3 linked regions of the Neurospora crassa OR74A genome follow. The protein of the gene in region 1 binds, or shares a complex with, the protein of each later gene. Links are inferred from orthologs where the notes say so. Each region holds a gene or a part of one and is shown on either strand. Other genes may lie near its edges.

Region 1 (3,764 bases):
GAAGGTGAGGCGCAAGGCTACGTATGCGCTTAGCAGTGCGGTGAGGAATTATCAGCCGGCTATGGATGTCGCGGCGGACGAGATGCATAAGCGCGGTCATGAGGTTTTGGTGAACAACGGGACCAAGGTGGATGCGGCGGATATGGATAAAGTGGATGAGGTTATTGACGTTTTGAGAAACAAGGCCAAGTCTGCTTAGAGCTGTCTAAGGGGATGAGTAGGTTGAGGGTTTGGGGTTCATGATGGGGATGACCAAATGAAAGGAAAATGGGACTGAAAAGATATGGTTTTGGTTTTGGCATTGGAAAAGGCGTTTGGTTTTTTTTGTTTGGAGATCCTTGGTTGATCAAGACGAATGGGTTCTGTTGTCATAATATCTTGACCTGTTCTGTGCAAAGCTAGACTGGGATATGGATATGTGGTTCTAGACTTGGGAGTTGTTTATGAAGCAGATACCCTTGACGATGTCCGTTTACACAATCCAGTTCACGCAATGATGACACCCTTCCAATTGTTTTACGCATTTGTGATTCTACTTCTTTGATCTTTGACCGTCAGACCCGGTGGTATTGTTCTTCTTCCGTTTCCTTTCCACTTCGTCTATAAGCCTCCTCCTCGTGATGTTGTTACAAAAGGTATATATACACCCAACATACATCGTCCTTATGTGGTTAGTGTATTCGTATTGTACAAGTTTCACACATCTCCTCATCCTCCTCAATTGTCATCCAACAACTATCATGATGCGAGATGTTGTTCATCATCTTCTCATCCCCCTTCCTTGAATCTCGTCCCTTTCTCAACCTCTCACGATCAACAGCCCGTTTGGCGCTTAGTTGCTGTAGAAAGGAACGCCGAGGGACTGGAGCAGAAGCTTAGCCTGCCTGTCGGAGGTGGCTGTCGTCTTGATGGCGATGTGGCAACCGGGAATCATCTTGGCGGGGTACATCTGGAGAGGATAGAAAGTCAGTAATCTGTCGTCAAGTCCAAGAAAACAAGAAGACGAAGCAGACGGTAGGGCCAAAGCCGGAGCCAGAGCCGGAACCAGAACCCTCCCTACTGTAGCTTCGGCTCCGGCTCCAACTCCAAACTTTTGTTCTCCTCCGTCCTCTCTTTCTCTTCCACCCATCATTTCCCAAGAAACAAACTCACATCATAGTTGCATTCCACCTCGGGAAAAAGCTGAACATCCTCCGGATTCAAACCAAACTGCACATTACCGCTTCCATCACCCGTACTCGCCGGCACGCCCTTCCAATCCTTGATCCGGGGGAGAACCAAATGGATCAACCGATCCATAAACTCCCACGCCGCGTTTCCGTAAATCGTCGTCTTGCAACCAGCCGGTTTGTTCGCCTGCAGCTGCCACTGCACCACGTTGTTCTTGGACCTCGTCATCTCCGGCATCGTCCCCGTCATGGCCAGCAGCACCGCCCGGGCCACAATCAACAAGTCCGGGTTCTTGAGACCGAGCGGCACGAAGGTGGAGACGGTGATTTCCTTGATCTCGGGGATGTTGCGGAACGAAATGTCGCGCTCGCGAATGGGAAGCTCGGGGGCACCGCGGGGCGCGCGGCGGGCACGGTTGGCGAAGTAGGGCGAGTCGCCCTCCCAGGCACGCAAGCGCTCCGTGGGTTCCTTTTTGGGCGTTCCCGGGGGTGTGTGGATGTAGGCCAGGGTCATGAGGTCCGAGGCCATGACGGTGCGGAAGGTTTCCTTGAGACGAGGCATGTTGAAGGGGCCGGGAACGAAGTCGCGGGCGATAGGGTCGGAGGAGGGAGGGGATTGGATGGGGTGGAGGGGGCCGCGGTTGTACTTGGGGGGGTGGTATTGGTATCTGTTCGGTAGGAGGTGAGGCATGGTGGTTAGCAACGTTTAAACATCTTGTTTATGGTTTGCGTATATGTATGTATATATACATGTGTGTGGCTAGCTATGTAAACCACGGGACGGAGGGAGAGTGTATAACGCACCTGCTGCTAGGCAACCTCGCCTTCCTGTCGGCCGCGCGCTTCCATGGCCTGAACTCCTTCTTGTCCTCTTCGCTGGGGATGGGAGCGTCCAATGCCGACCGTGTCTCAAGCTCGGCGAGGTCGGGAATGTTGGATTTGGGAGTAGCGGCAGCAGCGCCGGCACCAGTTTGTGTCGAGGCGCATCTTCGGACGGCGAACTGAGCAGAGAAAGGCTGAAGAGCGCGAGCCGATCGCGAGACCCCGCGGAGACTGGCCATGGTGAATTAGGATACCGAAAAAAGAAACCGGCGTTCGGGCGGACGCTCTGGTTTCGGAATTGGCGACCGTGGAGGTTGTCGCTTCGGAGTGGTGGTTGAGGAAGAGGGTCCGGCGCACGCGGGAAATCGGGGCCGAAGGTCTGTCACGGACGGGCAGAGGGCAGCGAGGTTCCTTCTCCGGCAAGCGCAAGGTCCTGGTCCCGCGTCGAGGCTCGAAGAGGTGCCGGTCCCCGTTGTGCCGCCCGCCGGAATTTTTTTTGGAGCCTCTGCGGAGTCTCGAACCGGGGCCAATGCTTGGCAGCACGGGCCAAAGCTGGATGAGTTTGGGGTTAGGGATATGAGTCTGTTACCCCTGAAAGCGTTCCTGGACCCCTGAGAATGCATCTGATGTGGTTGATGAACTCTAAATAAAGCATGGATTTGGAAATATATCACTATGTTTGTACCAATATAAGCGATTCAGATCAGGATTCCAACACATTAAGACGACATGTATGATTAGATTAGGAGACACTTGTATATGCGTACGCTTCCTTTGCTCGAAGTATCCTCCGAGCCACTAATAATTACATCATTCCGCGCACACCTTATCAGCATGTCTAGCAATAACAACAAAGTATGTAACGGGGAAGAAAGAGAAAACAGAAAAAACATCCAAGTATCATCATCACCGTCCAAGACTACGTCCCCATCGCCTCTCAATATTCTTCCGCCCAGAGCCGCTTCTTCTCACTTGTCCCACACCCCCATCACCATCCCATTTCAACTCATAATCAGACTCCCCATCTTTGCCCAAATTGGGTAACTTCACCTTCACCATCCCCTCGTTTCTCCTTTCTATACTCCTCCTAGCAGGAGAAGTAGTCCCAGCCGGCTGAATACTGTAAAGCAACAACCTTGAGCCAGCACCGCAGAACTCCGTCTTATCACCGACGCAGAACGACCTCTTGCACTCATACAGCTCTGACGCCGCCACCGCCGTGTCCGCGAGCGAATTGCCGCAGTAACACTCCTTGCCGAACTCCACGCCAAAGAGACTGTAGCCCCTCGACTGACAGCGTTCGTGGCACATCTCGACCGTCATGCTCGTGCTGTTGGTGTACGAGTGAGCTTTGAGAATACGAGCCGTTGAGTTGTCGATGAAGCAACCCTGTGGCGTCGCCAAGCGCCCGTTAACCACGGACGGGTTGACGAGCCGGGGCGTCACGTAGTTAGTTTGTCTGAAGACGTCCAGACGAGCGCGGCCACCGCAGCGTGTTGATGGGTCACCGGCGCAGGTGAGATTACAGCCAGTCTGGCCGAGGCTGTAGCCGGGCTTGAACTCGAGACCACAGTAGCATTGGGATTGGAACTCGAGGCCGGCGAGGGGGTAGTTTTGCTGGGCGCAGTAGTTAAGACATTTTTGAATGGTCATGCCGGCGCTGTCGTATAGGTAGGTGCCATTGAGCGCGCGAGCAGTAGGCGCGGCGGTGTTGGAGTCACTGGCACATCCTTGGTAGTCCCAGTTCACAACAGCAGGAATTGTAGGCGAGGC
Region 2 (3,423 bases), on another chromosome or scaffold:
TAAGCAGGTGCCAAGACCGTTGCAACGGAGAGAGTTGCAAACGCGGGGAAAGAAAGTTGGGGAAGTTCGGGACAAGAGGAAGCAACGGTACGTTCGGGAAGGTGAAAGCGACGCAATAAAGCACATCGATCCGCGTCGGTCGGACGAGAAACTCGCGCCGCTTTGGCGAATGGCAAGGGTTTGGTGATCCTTACCTCCGCATGTCGCCGGACCCCACGCCGACTGCTGAACAGGGATTGAATAATTTCTCACGGCCGCGCTCGGCAGCCGGTGACGGGCGGTCTTGAGGGCGTTTGACAGTCCGGCAGCCATCGATGCGATTGTCGATCTCTTTCTGATGAAGTGTACGTATTGATGGATGAGGGGAGGAGGGTCTCGATACTGCCGGGTGGGGGGGGACAGGACTCCCGGAGATGCCGTCAAAGGTGAACGGGAGAAGAACTTGTCGTTGATGGTGCGCTGACTCGCTCCGAGAGTACCGAGAGGACGGGATGTGATTTAGGGCTGAGTCCAGTTTATGTCAGTTGGGTTGGGTTTTCAAACCGCATTCGACACAGCAGACGCAAAGACACTATGAATGGGGGGGGGGGGGGGGGGGGGGAAAGATAGCACGCAGAAGAACACACGAACTTTTTTTTTTTTTTCTTTTTTTCATCAAATGTAGCAACCCAAACTGAACTAATGAGCTCCGAAACAGGAGCACGGAAAGCGGTGTGGTCTAGAACTTTTTGTTACAAAAGAGTCTTCGTTCCGGTCCGGTTTTGCTCCCGCGATCCATTTCTGGCGGGGTCGCAGAGGTCCGAATCGAGACTACAGTCTTGGTACAGTATGGAGAGTCAATCAAACAAATGCCATATTCTGATTCGGACTGCTATCCGCCAGACGAGGCGGTATCGCTGAGCTGTTTCGTAGCCGCCAAGATAAGCTGCTGCTGTGCTGTGCTGCCTGACAAGCCAACGTTAAATCCGGGCCGTTGTATTCTACCTCTAGAGGTAGCTGCGGCATGTGTAGGACCAGTGGACTATATCTAGTATCCAGGAACTATCCTTTTCGTCGACTTACACAGTTCCCTTCCAGCGCCTTGTTGGCGGGACGGGCATGATTACAGCCACAGTGCTGTCAACGGTCACCATGTTGAAATTACGGTACACAAATATCAAATTTATGTTCTTGAATACATCTCTCTCAGTGTACAAGCCCAGCAAAGGTGTTGATGTTGTCAATAAATTTGTGTGAGATGTTCTGATAGATATCACGCCCGTTGTGTTTTGGCCAAGGCCTCTGGGGTTCCTCGGTGAGCTCTCAGCTCACTACACTCAGCTTGTTCCTCACCTTGCCTTCACCGATCCTACAAGTACACTAAACCGCGGGCAGCCACCTGCCAAGCCCAGCTAGGAGCGCACACGACCCACCCACAGCCCCACCACGGCCCACGCACCCCCGGCGGGCCGGCAGGCAAAATCTACAATCGCAATCGCAAGAAGCGCGGACGACCCGACGTCGATTGGAGAGCTTCCGGCGCAAAGACCGTGCTCCGTGAATCCGCCCGCCCTCCGCCCGCAGTTTGCGAACCTCTCCGTCCGGACGAGCCCCAGCCCGTCGCCCGTCGCCGTACCGCACTTGATCCAGTCCAGTCCAGGCGCGCCGTTGCACACCACAACAGCGCAACAAAAGTCGTTCAACATGGCGAAGAAGGGTAATCGACTCCATCCTCACCCGTGTGTCTGCAATTACTGCTTTGTTTTCCTAAAGGGAAAAGCGATGCAATGGGGAAACCGGAAACCGAAAACAGAAGACGATAGTTGCTGATAGGTAAACAACAAACAGCCAAGTCCCGCATCATTAACGTGCGCCTGATCTCAATGGCCATGACGGGTTATTTCTACACCTTCACCCGTCCCCGTACCTCGCTGCCTATGAGCATGCTGAAATACGATCCGATCGGTATGCGCATATCCTCTCCCCTCATTCCTATCTACCTCTTTCGCTTCCAACCACCTACATGATTGATTCGGCGGACACGACGACACGGGCATGATATGGAACTCTTTTTGGTTGCGGGCTTTCTCGATTTGCACGATTCGAAACACCCCAATACGCTTCGTCGAACGGACCTTGGGAAGCTCGCTTGGGACTGGGACTAGGACTGGGATCAGGCTGGGACGCAACAGTTCAAAGACTCGGACGATGGCATAACGTACGGACCTTCGAGAAAAGAAAAAAAAAAAAGCAACCAGCCAACCAACCGGCCAACAGAGAAGAGAGGAGGGGACGGAAGAAACACTTGCCTACGACAGACAATTTTTCCCAATCACGGATCTCGAAGAGGAAGGAATACCTACTAACCCTTTCGCCTCTCCACCATAGTTCGCCGCAAGGTCCTCTTCCTCGAACAGAAACGCAAGGGCAGGTCATAGATCGTTACTCGCCCCCGGGCCTAACGACCGTCGAACGACCGAGAGCCAGAGCGAGAACGCGGAGCCTGCGATACGGAATCAAAGAGCGTAGCGGCGAAGCAGCGACAAGTAAAAAGCTACAGCACCCCCTCCACGGATTACCACGTCACACCAAGTTACGATTTCGACCGGGTTGTGTTTCAAGCAGATCACCAGCAGACAATGGCCAGTGCTGGCGAGTGAGTTGGAGCTGGAGCTGGAGAGGGGGGTGGACCGGACCGGAACTGGACTGGATATATGGAGAAGAGAGGCGCAAGAATAAGATGGGGTCCCTCGTTCCATCCAGTCTCTGGTCGTGTATTATTACTGTACCACCGATCCATCAGTATATAACATCACCCTGTGAGTTATGGATTGGCACCATGGAGCGTTTGTTGCTTCTTCGCTCTACCGATGGGCCAGGTTGATTAGAGAATGTACAAGTCAAGAGATAAGCACAACGCCCCTCGGCCGTCGGCAATGCTGGGCGTGACCCAGGTTCACTGCCAAGTGGCTCTCCCTTCTCTTGTGTTGTGTGGTAAGGATAACTCTTCTATCGCGATCAGACAGTCTGTCATGACACCTCGACATCTTTGACTTTTCTTGCCATCGTACATCGCTTTATCTCATCTTTCTATATTTTCGTGGAAATCAAACTTTTCATTAGTCACAAGACCCGTCTCCCAACATTTTACAGGCGTTCTTTCACACTCTTCTCGTCGTATACATATTGAATCTCAATTCATTCGAAACACAGTCTCCAATCCACACAAATACGCCATGCATCGACATATGGATCATAACTTATTCCCAGGCGGAGGCAGAGGCAAGTCATCTCCGTCTTCTTTGTTTGCATTCTGCGAGAGGGTCATGGAGTCTTGGGTCTCATCATTGGCGCCCCCGTATCGCGAAAGTGGCTGGGACTGAGACCGTGATTGGGACTCGCCGTTCGTTTGACTGACCGAGTTGGTGTTTTCCGCAGGATCAA
Region 3 (3,137 bases), on another chromosome or scaffold:
ACACGCGCCAGGCCGGCGAGACCATCAAGTTCGTCGAGAACCAGCTCGCCGCTCTCGCCAAGGAGATCAACGACTGGAAGAACGTCGTTATCGCGTACGAGCCCATCTGGGCCATTGGCACCGGCCTCGTCGCCACCAAGGAGCAGGCCCAGGAGGTGCACGCCGCCATCCGCAGCTGGCTCAAGCAGAACGTCAGCGACAAGGTTGCTGAGGAGACCCGCATCCTCTACGGTGGCTCTGTCAACGCCAAGAACTGCAAGGACCTTGCCAAGGAGCAGGACATTGACGGTTTCCTTGTTGGCGGTGCCAGCTTGAAGCCCGAGTGTAAGTACTACCTGCCATTGTTGCAACGAGAGGAAGAAAGATGGCTAACATGATATGATGCAGTCGTGGACATCATCAACGCCAACCTGTAAATTACTTGCCCATAAAAAGTTATAGCTTTGCTACAGCCGCAATCATATAGGCTGGGAAATGGTGTTGAGGACACGGCGAAAATATAAAATAGTTAAATGTCCTGATTTTGTTCGATTTGGGATTGAAGAACGTAGTTTCGCTTCATGTAGCCCGTTCATGACTTCTGTGACACCAGATACCGCAACTCCGCGGCTCCTCCATTCGCTCTTAGATGTTCATCCCAAGTTCCAATATCAACAGTCAACCACCAAGCACCAGAAGATAATGTCAGATTCTTTGGAACTGGGGCAACTCATCATGGGAACTCGATAGCTCTGGAAGGACTTGATCACAACCATATAGCCAAACCGAAACCCTTGATACATCCAGAAACCCTTTTCATGTCCTCAATTCATATTCATACATTCAACATGGTATATACAATCCACCTGGTACTGAACCGAGCCAACACCGGCCGAGCACCAAATCCAGCCCAGCACCGATCCAGTCCATTCCAGCACCAGCACCAGCACCTGCTCCTCCCCCTTTTTCCGCTTTATACAGCCATACCCTGCCCATGGTAAGGCGACCAGACACCTCTGACACTGGGGTTCGTGCTGGTGACGGGCTTCTTGAACTTCTGGGGCTTCTCGCCGCTCGCGTCGCGGAGGAGCTCGGCCTTCTTGAGGATCTCGAGCGGCTCCATGTTGCGCACGCAAATGGCCTTGGTGCGCCCGTTGATGTAGTGGCCCATGAGGATCGGGTGCTTGGCGGGCCGGGGAGAGACGACGAACTCGATTTGCGGGTTGGCGGCGGCGAATTTGGGGAGGAGGGATTTGATGAAGCCGCTAGATGGAGGAAGAAGTAAGTGTTAGTGAAAGAGTCTGTCTGCTGAGGTCGCGAAGGGAGACTGGAGGGATAAGGAGGGACGAGGAGGGACGAGGAGGGACGAGGAGGGACGAGGAGGGACGAGAAAAAGGGTATGTAGTGGTGGATGGATGGATGGATGGATGGTCGGGGACGGCGGGATGGTCTCGAGATCTTGGGAGGATGTCGGTTTGGTTGGACGTGTAGAGGTATTGGTATATGTGAAAGATGTTCGATCGGGAATGAGGTTGCGATGTCCATATTCGAAGAATCCTAAACGTACTTCATGCCCCGGGAGCTGCCGGCCCAGTCACTGTAGTGGATGTCCAACTTCTTGCACTGCAAGACGAATGCGCCGACGCCATTCTAGATACAAAACAATCAACGATTAGCATTCTTTTTTTTCTGAAAATTAAAGTTTTTAGTTGCTCAGGCTGCGGTCTAACTTACACGGCCGGCAGAGGAGATCTGCGTCAATGCTTTTACCGTCATTGTTGTGATGCTCTTCTTCTTCTTCTTCTTCGCCGCCGTCCTCGCCTTGCAACAAGTCCGAGTCCACCAGGGTTCATGATCCGGAGGGCGGGTGCGACTTGAACTTCTGCCAGACTCCCGCCCCGTCGCGCGCCGGCACGGCACTGGGGGTGGGGGACCCGCCCAACTGCAAAAGCGGTTGGCAGAATCAATTTCACGCGATTGCACTCCTCCTTGGGTGTGTGCGTAGTGATAACGAAGACGACCTAAGGGTGCACGGTCCCTCTTTCGCACTCAGTCGTTCGGTGGTCGAGCGCGCGAGAAAGCTGCCCAGCAAGAGCTCCAGTCGCTGCGAGGCTGCCAGGCAGTGGACGACACAACACCAGACAGGGCCCTTTGCTGCTCCCGCCTCCCACCCTCTGTCTCTCGTCTTCAGCTGTCCAAGCAAAGTCGCGAAAATGCGGGTTTGACCTTTCTCGCAAACCGACAACACCACATTATCGCCATCACAAGAATTGGCAAACAGTAACAGCGTTCAGCCTTATTGAACTGTTCTCGCCCGGCTTTCCGAACAGTGGATCAAACGCCAGACGACCTACATTTCCTGGTTTCCGACATATCGATTTCATAATTCGACGACAGATAAGATCAACAAAAAAACACCACTTGACCAGCTACAACAGCGACAACGTGAAGCGACAATGACAGACCGGCTCCCGCCTAACCTCCTCGCACTCTTTGCGCCCCGGCCACCTCTGCGCTGGGTGCCGCCCTGCGATGTTGCTCCCGAAGAGCGCAAGTCGGCCTTCATCACCCCCGTTGCCGACTTCCTTCCTGCCATGCAGGCCTACGAGCAAGAATACGAGTACCATCCCACCGAGAGCTGGCTGGAGGCGCGCGACCGCAAGAAGCGCGAGAAGAAGGAAGCTTTGGAGAAGCTGTTGACCGAGGGTCCCAAGAATTGTACGCGGCAAACCCCCAACGTTACGCGCAGTTGTGCTCGCTACTCCTTTACTTGATCATGATCTTGCTGTCGTGCGGCTTGCTAACCGATGGCGTTTATCTGTAGACAACCCTAATGACGATCCCAACATCAGAGGAGATGCTTTCAAGACGTTGATAGTAGCGCGTCTTGACTACCGTGCTGATGAACAGGATCTCGAGCGCGAGTTTAGCCGCTACGGTCCTATCGAGCGTGTGAGTTTGCAAACCCCCCCTCCTCCTATATCATGATTTCACAGCTATGTGTGTGTTAATTGACAAGAACTGACACCAAAAAACAGATCCGTATCATCAGAGATACCCACGCCGATGAGAACCCAAACAAGAAGAAAAAGCCCCATCGTGGCTATGCTTTTGTCGTTTTCGAACGCGAAAAGGACATGAGAGGTAATGACCAGCCC

What was found. Proteins that work in one complex are often made in the same cells at the same time.
Region 2: NCU04171 (region 1) and NCU17114 share a complex: the UniProt entries of both Schizosaccharomyces pombe proteins name them as parts of the mitochondrial large ribosomal subunit. The link is inferred for Neurospora crassa OR74A from reciprocal best matches to the Schizosaccharomyces pombe genes mrpl7 and mrpl39.
Region 3: NCU04171 (region 1) and NCU07549 share a complex: the UniProt entries of both Schizosaccharomyces pombe proteins name them as parts of the mitochondrial large ribosomal subunit. The link is inferred for Neurospora crassa OR74A from reciprocal best matches to the Schizosaccharomyces pombe genes mrpl7 and mrpl51.

Annotation. Positions count from the first base shown.
Region 1 is NC_026505.1:5,079,365-5,083,128, reverse strand, and holds NCU04171 (mitochondrial 54S ribosomal protein YmL7/YmL5), read right to left. Parts: upstream 2,506-3,764; 5' UTR 2,231-2,505; coding exon 1,974-2,230; intron 1,838-1,973; coding exon 1,153-1,837; intron 950-1,152; coding exon 833-949; 3' UTR 501-832; downstream 1-500. Other genes in the region: NCU04172 (hsp70-like protein), read left to right, coding at 1-199; NCU04170 (hypothetical protein), read right to left, coding at 2,898-3,764. UniProt on the Schizosaccharomyces pombe protein: Component of the mitochondrial ribosome (mitoribosome), a dedicated translation machinery responsible for the synthesis of mitochondrial genome-encoded proteins, including at least some of the essential transmembrane subunits of the mitochondrial respiratory chain.
Region 2 is NC_026506.1:2,292,501-2,295,923, forward strand, and holds NCU17114 (hypothetical protein), read left to right. Parts: upstream 1-1,394; 5' UTR 1,395-1,683; coding exon 1,684-1,696; intron 1,697-1,827; coding exon 1,828-1,944; intron 1,945-2,367; coding exon 2,368-2,417; 3' UTR 2,418-2,923; downstream 2,924-3,423. Other genes in the region: ala (alanine aminotransferase), read right to left, coding at 195-312; NCU03974 (hypothetical protein), read right to left, coding at 3,233-3,423. UniProt on the Schizosaccharomyces pombe protein: Component of the mitochondrial ribosome (mitoribosome), a dedicated translation machinery responsible for the synthesis of mitochondrial genome-encoded proteins, including at least some of the essential transmembrane subunits of the mitochondrial respiratory chain.
Region 3 is NC_026503.1:4,406,055-4,409,191, forward strand, and holds NCU07549 (mitochondrial 54S ribosomal protein MRPL51), read right to left. Parts: upstream 1,937-3,137; 5' UTR 1,756-1,936; coding exon 1,714-1,755; intron 1,630-1,713; coding exon 1,547-1,629; intron 1,245-1,546; coding exon 953-1,244; 3' UTR 501-952; downstream 1-500. Other genes in the region: NCU07550 (triosephosphate isomerase), read left to right, coding at 1-324, 388-416; NCU07548 (hypothetical protein), read left to right, coding at 2,436-2,697, 2,804-2,931, 3,018-3,123. UniProt on the Schizosaccharomyces pombe protein: Component of the mitochondrial ribosome (mitoribosome), a dedicated translation machinery responsible for the synthesis of mitochondrial genome-encoded proteins, including at least some of the essential transmembrane subunits of the mitochondrial respiratory chain.